Linked DNA regions of Schizosaccharomyces pombe. The protein of the gene in region 1 interacts with the protein of each later gene in a pairwise test. Each region holds a gene or a part of one and is shown in the gene's direction. Other genes may lie near its edges.

Region 1 (3,928 bases):
CGACGTAACCAGAGCCACACATTATACTGGACAAAGGCGTTCTCTGGCGGCGGAATCGAACCAATATATAAGAAAACACTCAAATTCTGGGTTTATTGGAGGAAATTTTTTATTTTAAAAACAGTTTCTTTTACTCGAAAAAGCGTTTTTAATACTTCTTTCTTTGGCTTTGTTTTTACTCGATAGGGGCAAAACCTGTACAAGCTTGATTCGTGAACGTACGACATAATCCTTTGTTTGTATTAATGCTTAAATTATCTTAAGTATTTATTAACGGGGTATTCACTAGTTGAAATACATTTATATATATAAGGTGTTACTTTCGCGACTACAGCTGTTAGCCGTTGCTTTTTTAAGGAATTCGCATAATTATTTAAGAACTCGATTCTGTTTAGACCCACAAAACAACATCCAGATTCGGGTTGATTTTAATTTTTAACTCTCTATTTTTATTACTCTTATTAAATTGTGCCCTTCCATTTTTATTTATAAACTTTAAGATGCGCGTGTACAATAAATCTAGAATTGTAGGGCAGCTCCTTTTTGTGGCCCTCGGTATTACTTTCATCTATTACCTATTTACTCCATCTGTCAATTCAAATGCCAAAGTTCAGATTGAAAACCGTGGGGGGAATTCTTACGAAATATACGATATGAACAAAATTACGGAATCTTCCGATCCCATTCGTAACAAAGAGGAGGTGTTAATCTTAACTCCTATTGCTCGATTTTATCCACAGTATTGGAAAAATCTTCTTGAGCTTGACTATCCGAGGAATTTAATTTCTTTAGGGTTTATTGTTCCTTCGTCAAAGGACGGTGCAAAAGTTCATCGTGAACTTCGGAATGCTATCAATGCTGTTCAGAAAGGTCCAGGCGATAAGCGTTTTGCCGATGTTAAAATTTTAATCCAAGACTCTGATCTTTCTTCAGGGCAATCAGAGGCCGAACGGCATAAATTTTCTGCCCAGAAGGAGCGTCGGGGAAAGTTAGCTGCTACCAGAAATACATTGCTGTTAAGCACTCTAAAACCTAGTACCTCTTGGGTTTTGTGGCTTGATTCTGACATTGTAGAAACTCCCTCCACGTTAATCCAAGATTTGGCGGAACACAATGAAGACGTGTTGGTAGCTAATTGTTTCCAAAAGCAAGGCGATAAACTAACTCCTTATGACTTCAATAGTTGGGTCGATTCTCAAACCGCGCAGGAGCTTGCAAGTCACATGGACAGGGATGAGATTTTGCTTGAAGGATATGCTGAATTGCCTACTTATCGAATGTTGATGGCTAAAATTTATGAGGAGCACAAAGATCCATCTACAATTATGGCTCTTGACGGTGTAGGCACCACTGCTTTACTGGTGAAGGCAAGTGTTCATAGGGATGGCGCATTATTCCCAACCTTCCCTTTTTACCACCTTATTGAAAGTGAGGGCTTTGCAAAGATGGCTAAGCGTTTAGGTCATGGAGTTTATGGATTACCCTATTATTTAGTGTTCCATCATAATGAGTAGGGGGATGGATTAGGATTGCTTTTTTCATTTGCATGTGCTTTGCATGCATTGTGAACGTTCATGCCGTTTAACCCATATTGGCTAAATCGTTTATTTAAAGAAAAGAAAAAAATCCTTTGTACTTGTAAAGTAAGCAACCACGAGGAGTTAAGCTTTGCATTATCTAATCATGCTCGCTTATGTGTAGACAACCATAAATGTGTTAATTAGGAATCTTCTTAGGATTCTACTGCGTTAGAAGTCTTTTCTCTGTCTTGTTTGCTGGAGCTGTTTCTGCCTTAAAATGCGAAAATGCTGTAACTGGCATGTCTTTCTTTTTTTTCTCTCTCATTAATACTTGCATTTGAAATTTTCCTTTATGGCATATCGGCCATTCGTAACTCATTAACCCAGAGTTGCAGCTCATTGACTGGTGAACACTAATTCATTAACATTCGTTGCAAAAATTTCGCCAATTGCATGATAATCTGGTCTATATTTTATTCTTATAAAACATCTATTATGCTGACAATTGTTAATTTATTTTGCAGTAGTCAAGTCACTGTATGAATATGGTAGCTGGATTTTTTGTATGGTTTTAATGTAGTACAAAATTGAGTATTACTTTTACAAATGTAGCCACTTTAAATTTTTATAATATGTTCTAGTACAAAAACAATATCCCAAAAAGTATTTTCAAAATTTGAATGCTTTCCTTGTTTAGCGTATAACATTAGCGTACGTTATTTTGTTCTGAAGGACTGGTTAGTGTCGCTATTGACTTCTGCCAGTATTCACCCCTCTAAAATTAATTTTAATAATTGTTACAAATAAGGCCCTTTTGATCTTCTGACTGTTATAAAACATTACCCTTTTATTTTTGTTGAATTCCTAGAAGACTGGTTTATCATTTAAGGAAGGAGAACAAAGCAAAAAAAAAATTCGCGAGATGGCAACGTTGTACCCCAAACCAAAACGAGGGCAGAAGATTATTTTTAATGAAGAAGGAGAAGGTACAATTGATACTAAACCTCAGGGGGTCATGTTTGATCCCGGAGTTCCATGGTATAATATTCCTTTGCCAGAATTGCATGAGGATAAAAAGTTTGTAAACGTAGATCATGTCTCTGAATTAGAGACGCGTGGATTATTGCTTTTGAAAGAAGACTCAGAAAGGTTTTCAGAAACTCTGGGACATGGAACAGCTGACAAACGGATGTTACAAACTCTCATTAGTTCTGGTACCACCAGTGATCGTATTTCCGCACTCACCTTACTTGTTCAGGAATCTCCCATACATGCAGTTAAGGCATTGGAAACTTTGCTTTCTATTTGTTCCAAAAAATCTCGTAACGAAGCTACTCAAGCTATTACCACTCTCAAAGACCTTTTTATCGGAGGACTTCTTCCAGACAGAAAGTTAAAGTATATGAAACAGCAATCTTGTTTGGGGTCTAAAAACGTTACAGACAAACATCTTATGGTATGGGCTTTTGAAAGTTTTTTGAAGTCATTTTATTTTAAATACATTCAAATCATTGAAGCTTTGTCTTTTGACGCACTTCTATTTGTAAAAAGTCAAATGGTTTCTACTATCTATGACTTATTGAAGGCTAAACCTGAACAAGAACAAAATTTGCTCAAGTTGTTGATTAATAAACTCGGTGATAAGGAGAATAAAATTGCCTCTAAAGCTTCTTATTCAATTCTCCAGCTCGAAGCTAGTCATCCTGCAATGAAGCTTGTGATTACTAAGGAAATTGAAAGATTCATCTTTGCACCTTCTACAAGCCGTACCAGTTGTTACTACACATTGATAACGTTGAATCAAACTGTTTTGACTCATAAACAAGTCGACGTTGCTAATTTATTAATAGAAATATATTTTGTTTTTTTTACTAAACTCTTGTTTGCTTTAGAGAAGGAAGAGGTTGCTGATGCTCCTACTTTGGAAAAAAAGTCTCTGCAGTCAGATTCAAAAAACAAAAAGTCACAAAAACGAAAGAAGGATGAAGATTTAAGGAAAGAGGCTGAAGAAAACGTTAATTCACGCGTGATATCAGCGGTATTGACAGGCGTCAACCGTGCTTATCCCTTTGCAGAAGTGAATTCTGAAAAATTTGACAAGCACATGAATACCCTATTTGCCATCACCCATACTGCTTCTTTTAATACGTCAGTTCAAGTTTTAATGCTAATTTTTCAAGCATCTGCTAGCCGTGATTTCATTTCGGACCGTTATTATAAAAGCCTTTACGAATCATTACTTGACCCACGTCTAACAACGTCGTCGAAACAGTCTCTTTATCTGAATTTACTTTATAAGTCACTTATTATAGACAACAACATTCCACGTGTTCGAGCATTTATAAAAAGAATGGTTCAGGTCTCAGCGTGGCAGCAACCTCCTTTAGTCACTGGATTATTTCATGTGA
Region 2 (3,928 bases), on another chromosome or scaffold:
CGCGCTTTTTCAAGTTGGGTCTGTCAGGATTAACAAAAGTGTTCCAACTATGGTAAGCACGAAGGAAATCAGCATAACTCTTCTCTGGGGCAGCTTCAAACTCACGCTTTTTCAAATTGGGTCTGTCAGGATTAACAAAAGTGTTCCAACTTTGATAAGCACGAAGGAAATCAGCATAAGTTTTTGCGGGAGCAGCTTCGAATTCGCGCTTTTTCAAGTTGGGTCTATCAGGATTAGCAAAAGTGTTCCAACTTTGGTAAACACGAAGGAAATCAGCATATGACTTGCTAACTGAAACCACACCAGGATCGGCAACTGGAATAGGTGAGGCAGCAGCAAGTGAGAATAAAAGGGCAATGACAGCGGTGATCTTCATAATGTATGTGAAAAAAATAAAATTTCGTTGATAAGTTAGAAAAAGAAAGATAGTTTAAGCGATGAACTAGCAAATAAAAGAAGAAAATTATAATTTGTTGACTGATTCAAAAAAAGGGAGAGTTTAAAAAGGCAAAATTCCAAAAGAAAAAGGATTAAAAGATTAGAATAAGAAAGATCGAAGCAAATTTACAGAAAATTAGCTAACGGAGCAGGTTTGTTGACAAGAGGGATGTAAATTCACACCCAACGCGAGTTCTTGTAGAGTGAAGAATAAGAAATAGAAAGAGTGAATATGTAAAATAGAAGACTTGAACGAATTCTGGTTTTCTTCTGGGACAGAATGCCTGTATTTATACATCTTTGTAGTGCTCCGTTTCCCTCAATTCAAATCTGGAATTCTATGCTTTCAAACTGTTCATTGTTGACATTAACCGCCATTTTTTAATGACTTCCCCGTTTTCGTTTTATCGCTGTTTATCCTGATTGGTTGAAGATATTCGCTTATTTTTTTGTCGTCCACCCAAAATGAACTTCTATGTACAGCGACCAATCAAAAGACTTATTAATTTTAAGCGACTTTTTTCTGGTAGCGGCTATTTTTTTTATTGGTTAAAGGTTTTTTGATAATGTAAACAATAAAACTCTATCCATTGTTCTTTGTGTGTACTCAACCAATAGCATACCGCCATAGAATGAAAAAATGAACTTCAGATTGAAGGCATAGAACGCCTCTGGCTACTTGTAGCAGATATAGATACTGCAAAGCAACTAAAATAGAGCTTCAAAGGAGATGGAGCACGCAAAAAAGAGGAGAATAAACAAATACCCGTTCCCCTCCGACTAGTGGGCCAGTATTTGGTGTACTAGATATTGTGCACGGAGAAAGTACAAAGGATTGCCGTTGCTAGCATTTAATTTCCAAGGAAAGGATAGTAATATGATAGTAGGAAATTGTTTGATACCATTAGTGCTTTTTTTCCCTCGAACATGAGAATCAGGGCTTGCTAAAACCATAGTAGTGCTAGTTCCGAGAATCCCACCTTTTCATTATACCTTCAAAAAATAAGAGTACATTTCGAAAAGGTTTTAGTAAAAGGATTGGTGAAAATAACGAATAAACTGCTGCTTCTTTACAGCTTTTTTAATTCTTTTCGGCGTTAACATGCTTCCTTTCGTTCTAAAGTCATATAACCATATCATTATACTAATAAACTGTTTAATATAATTTTACTCCTTTATTATGACTTCGCGCTATACCATTGTATTTGTTAAATTGCTTTAGCGCGTTAAATGGAAAGCATTGATCGCAAAATCCAACGTTTGCAATACTTGCGGCTATAGACTGGAGATGATTTAAGAATTGGTGTAATAAAAGGATTCTGTAACTCATGGTAAACGCTTCTCTAATCTGGGATCTCGATACTCCTTAGCGACATTTTCAATATAGCAAACATGCAACAGAGATATTCATTTATAGGTTGGATGCTAGATCGAGAGGTTCTTATTCATACATTGTCTTGAATTTTTTAATTTTATGAAAGAAAAAAAAAATCTTTTTTTTCTATTCTGCTCAGGGCATGGGCCGCGGTTATTCCGCGGCCCATCCATATGTTTTGGCTCTTCCATCTTAAGTTGTTGGTTGCGTTTAGATTCGTGTTCAAAGTTGCTTACAACATACTACTGTATTATTGTACGAGTAGACTCCATATACTTCAACAGTACAAAGTCTCCTTGTATATTAATTTGTTTTAGCGCGCTTTTCTATTTTTTTACTGTTTTTCCACTCAGACCATAAATTAAATAGGTATGTAGCGTAAATGTCGAAATTTTTTTCCTCTTCCATTTTAGTGCAAACGGATGCCTTTTTGAAGACTCATGCTGAAAGAAACATGAAAAAGTTAATTCTCCAACACTTTTTTACCCGCTCAAATAGTGTTTCACCTATTTTGCAAATCCTTATTGGTATGGGTTAGTGTGTTTCTGGTTGCGTTGGTTATTGAGACAGTAATTTCATCGTTACATTCTTTAAAAGGTTTTTTTTTTTACGACTGTGACACAAACGCGTAAACATTTGAGAAGAGAAAAAAAAAGGAACTTGTGTGCTCATTTCATTCCTTATTTTATAACCAGCATTCCCAATTTACTAATGTGTTGTAGACAATGTATAACGTGATTTTTGTTTTAGGCGGTCCTGGTGCTGGAAAGGGTACACAATGCGATCGTTTGGCCGAGAAATTTGACAAATTCGTACATATTAGCGCTGGAGATTGTCTACGCGAAGAGCAAAATCGTCCTGGCAGCAAATACGGAAACCTTATTAAAGAATATATCAAAGATGGTAAAATTGTGCCCATGGAAATAACTATATCCCTTTTAGAGACTAAAATGAAGGAATGCCATGATAAAGGAATTGACAAGTTCTTGATTGACGGTTTCCCCCGTGAGATGGATCAATGCGAAGGTTTTGAAAAGTCGGTCTGCCCCGCTAAGTTTGCTCTTTATTTCCGTTGTGGTCAGGAAACCATGTTGAAGCGTCTTATTCATCGTGGTAAGACTAGTGGCCGTTCTGATGACAACATTGAGTCGATCAAGAAACGCTTTGTTACATATACTAAAGCCAGCATGCCTGTCGTCGAATATCTGAAATCACAAAATCGTCTGATAACCATCGATGCCGAGCAAGATCCCGATGCGGTTTTTGAAGATACCGTAAAGGCACTTCAACCTTACCTGTAGAGAAAGCAATGCTTTTGTAAGGCAATCATTTGAGTGCTATATTCTTATTTTCCCAACTTTCATTATATCTTTGCATCAAATATACTGTCCGATCACGGTTAATTTGTTGTATATTAATTTAAAAACCTTCTTTTTTCTTTCCGTAGCCTTGCCTTAATGATATGTCTTTATTGATACCATAATGCCAAATCACTGCTTGAACTGCTCAGTAACGAAAGTTCGCTGAAAAAAAGATACATATAGCAAAATGAGTTACTTTAACATTGAATAATAAATCAATCTCTAGAACGTTTTCATCAAAACGTTCACATAAAAAGCACGGTTTGTAGTGCACAAAATAAATACCATAGTGTATTCTACTGCAAAACGAAACCATAAAGGGAGCTAAACCCAGACATAAATGAGTAGATTTTTTCCGATAATATGTTCATGAGTTAAATTAAAACTATAACTATTTGTTCACGTTGTTTTGGTAAACAATCCCTAATTTTCTCCTACCATTGCTAACAAATAACCGTAAATTTTCATAACCAACCAGCACATTAGCAAAACAATATACTGGCATTTGCAGGACTTGATTTACCTGCAACTCAACTATTTACTCTGACTATCCAACCATTAACGATGGCATACATACCCATACAGATGAACCACACCAGACATACAGACAAGATTAGTCGGAATCGAGTTACCTGACAAACAGGTGCCACACATTGCACTAAAATAAATCTTCTCGAATGCGTTTCAAAATCAGGTACGACAAACGAGGCCATACTGATTGAATTTCTGGTACATTCGGCAGAACGTTCGTTCT

Evidence for each region.
Region 2: the proteins of noc1 (region 1) and ura6 interact in a two-hybrid assay, tested with the Schizosaccharomyces pombe proteins (one large-scale study listed by BioGRID).

What each region holds. Positions count from the first base shown.
Region 1 is NC_003424.3:4,847,894-4,851,821, reverse strand, and holds the start of noc1 (ribosome biogenesis protein Noc1), read left to right. Parts: upstream 1-2,289; 5' UTR 2,290-2,442; coding exon 2,443-3,928. Other genes in the region: mannan polymerase complex subunit Mnn9, read left to right, coding at 501-1,514.
Region 2 is NC_003421.2:986,309-990,236, forward strand, and holds ura6 (uridylate kinase), read left to right. Parts: upstream 1-2,046; 5' UTR 2,047-2,182; intron 2,183-2,535; 5' UTR 2,536-2,538; coding exon 2,539-3,114; 3' UTR 3,115-3,401; downstream 3,402-3,928. Other genes in the region: P-factor pheromone Map2, read right to left, coding at 1-376.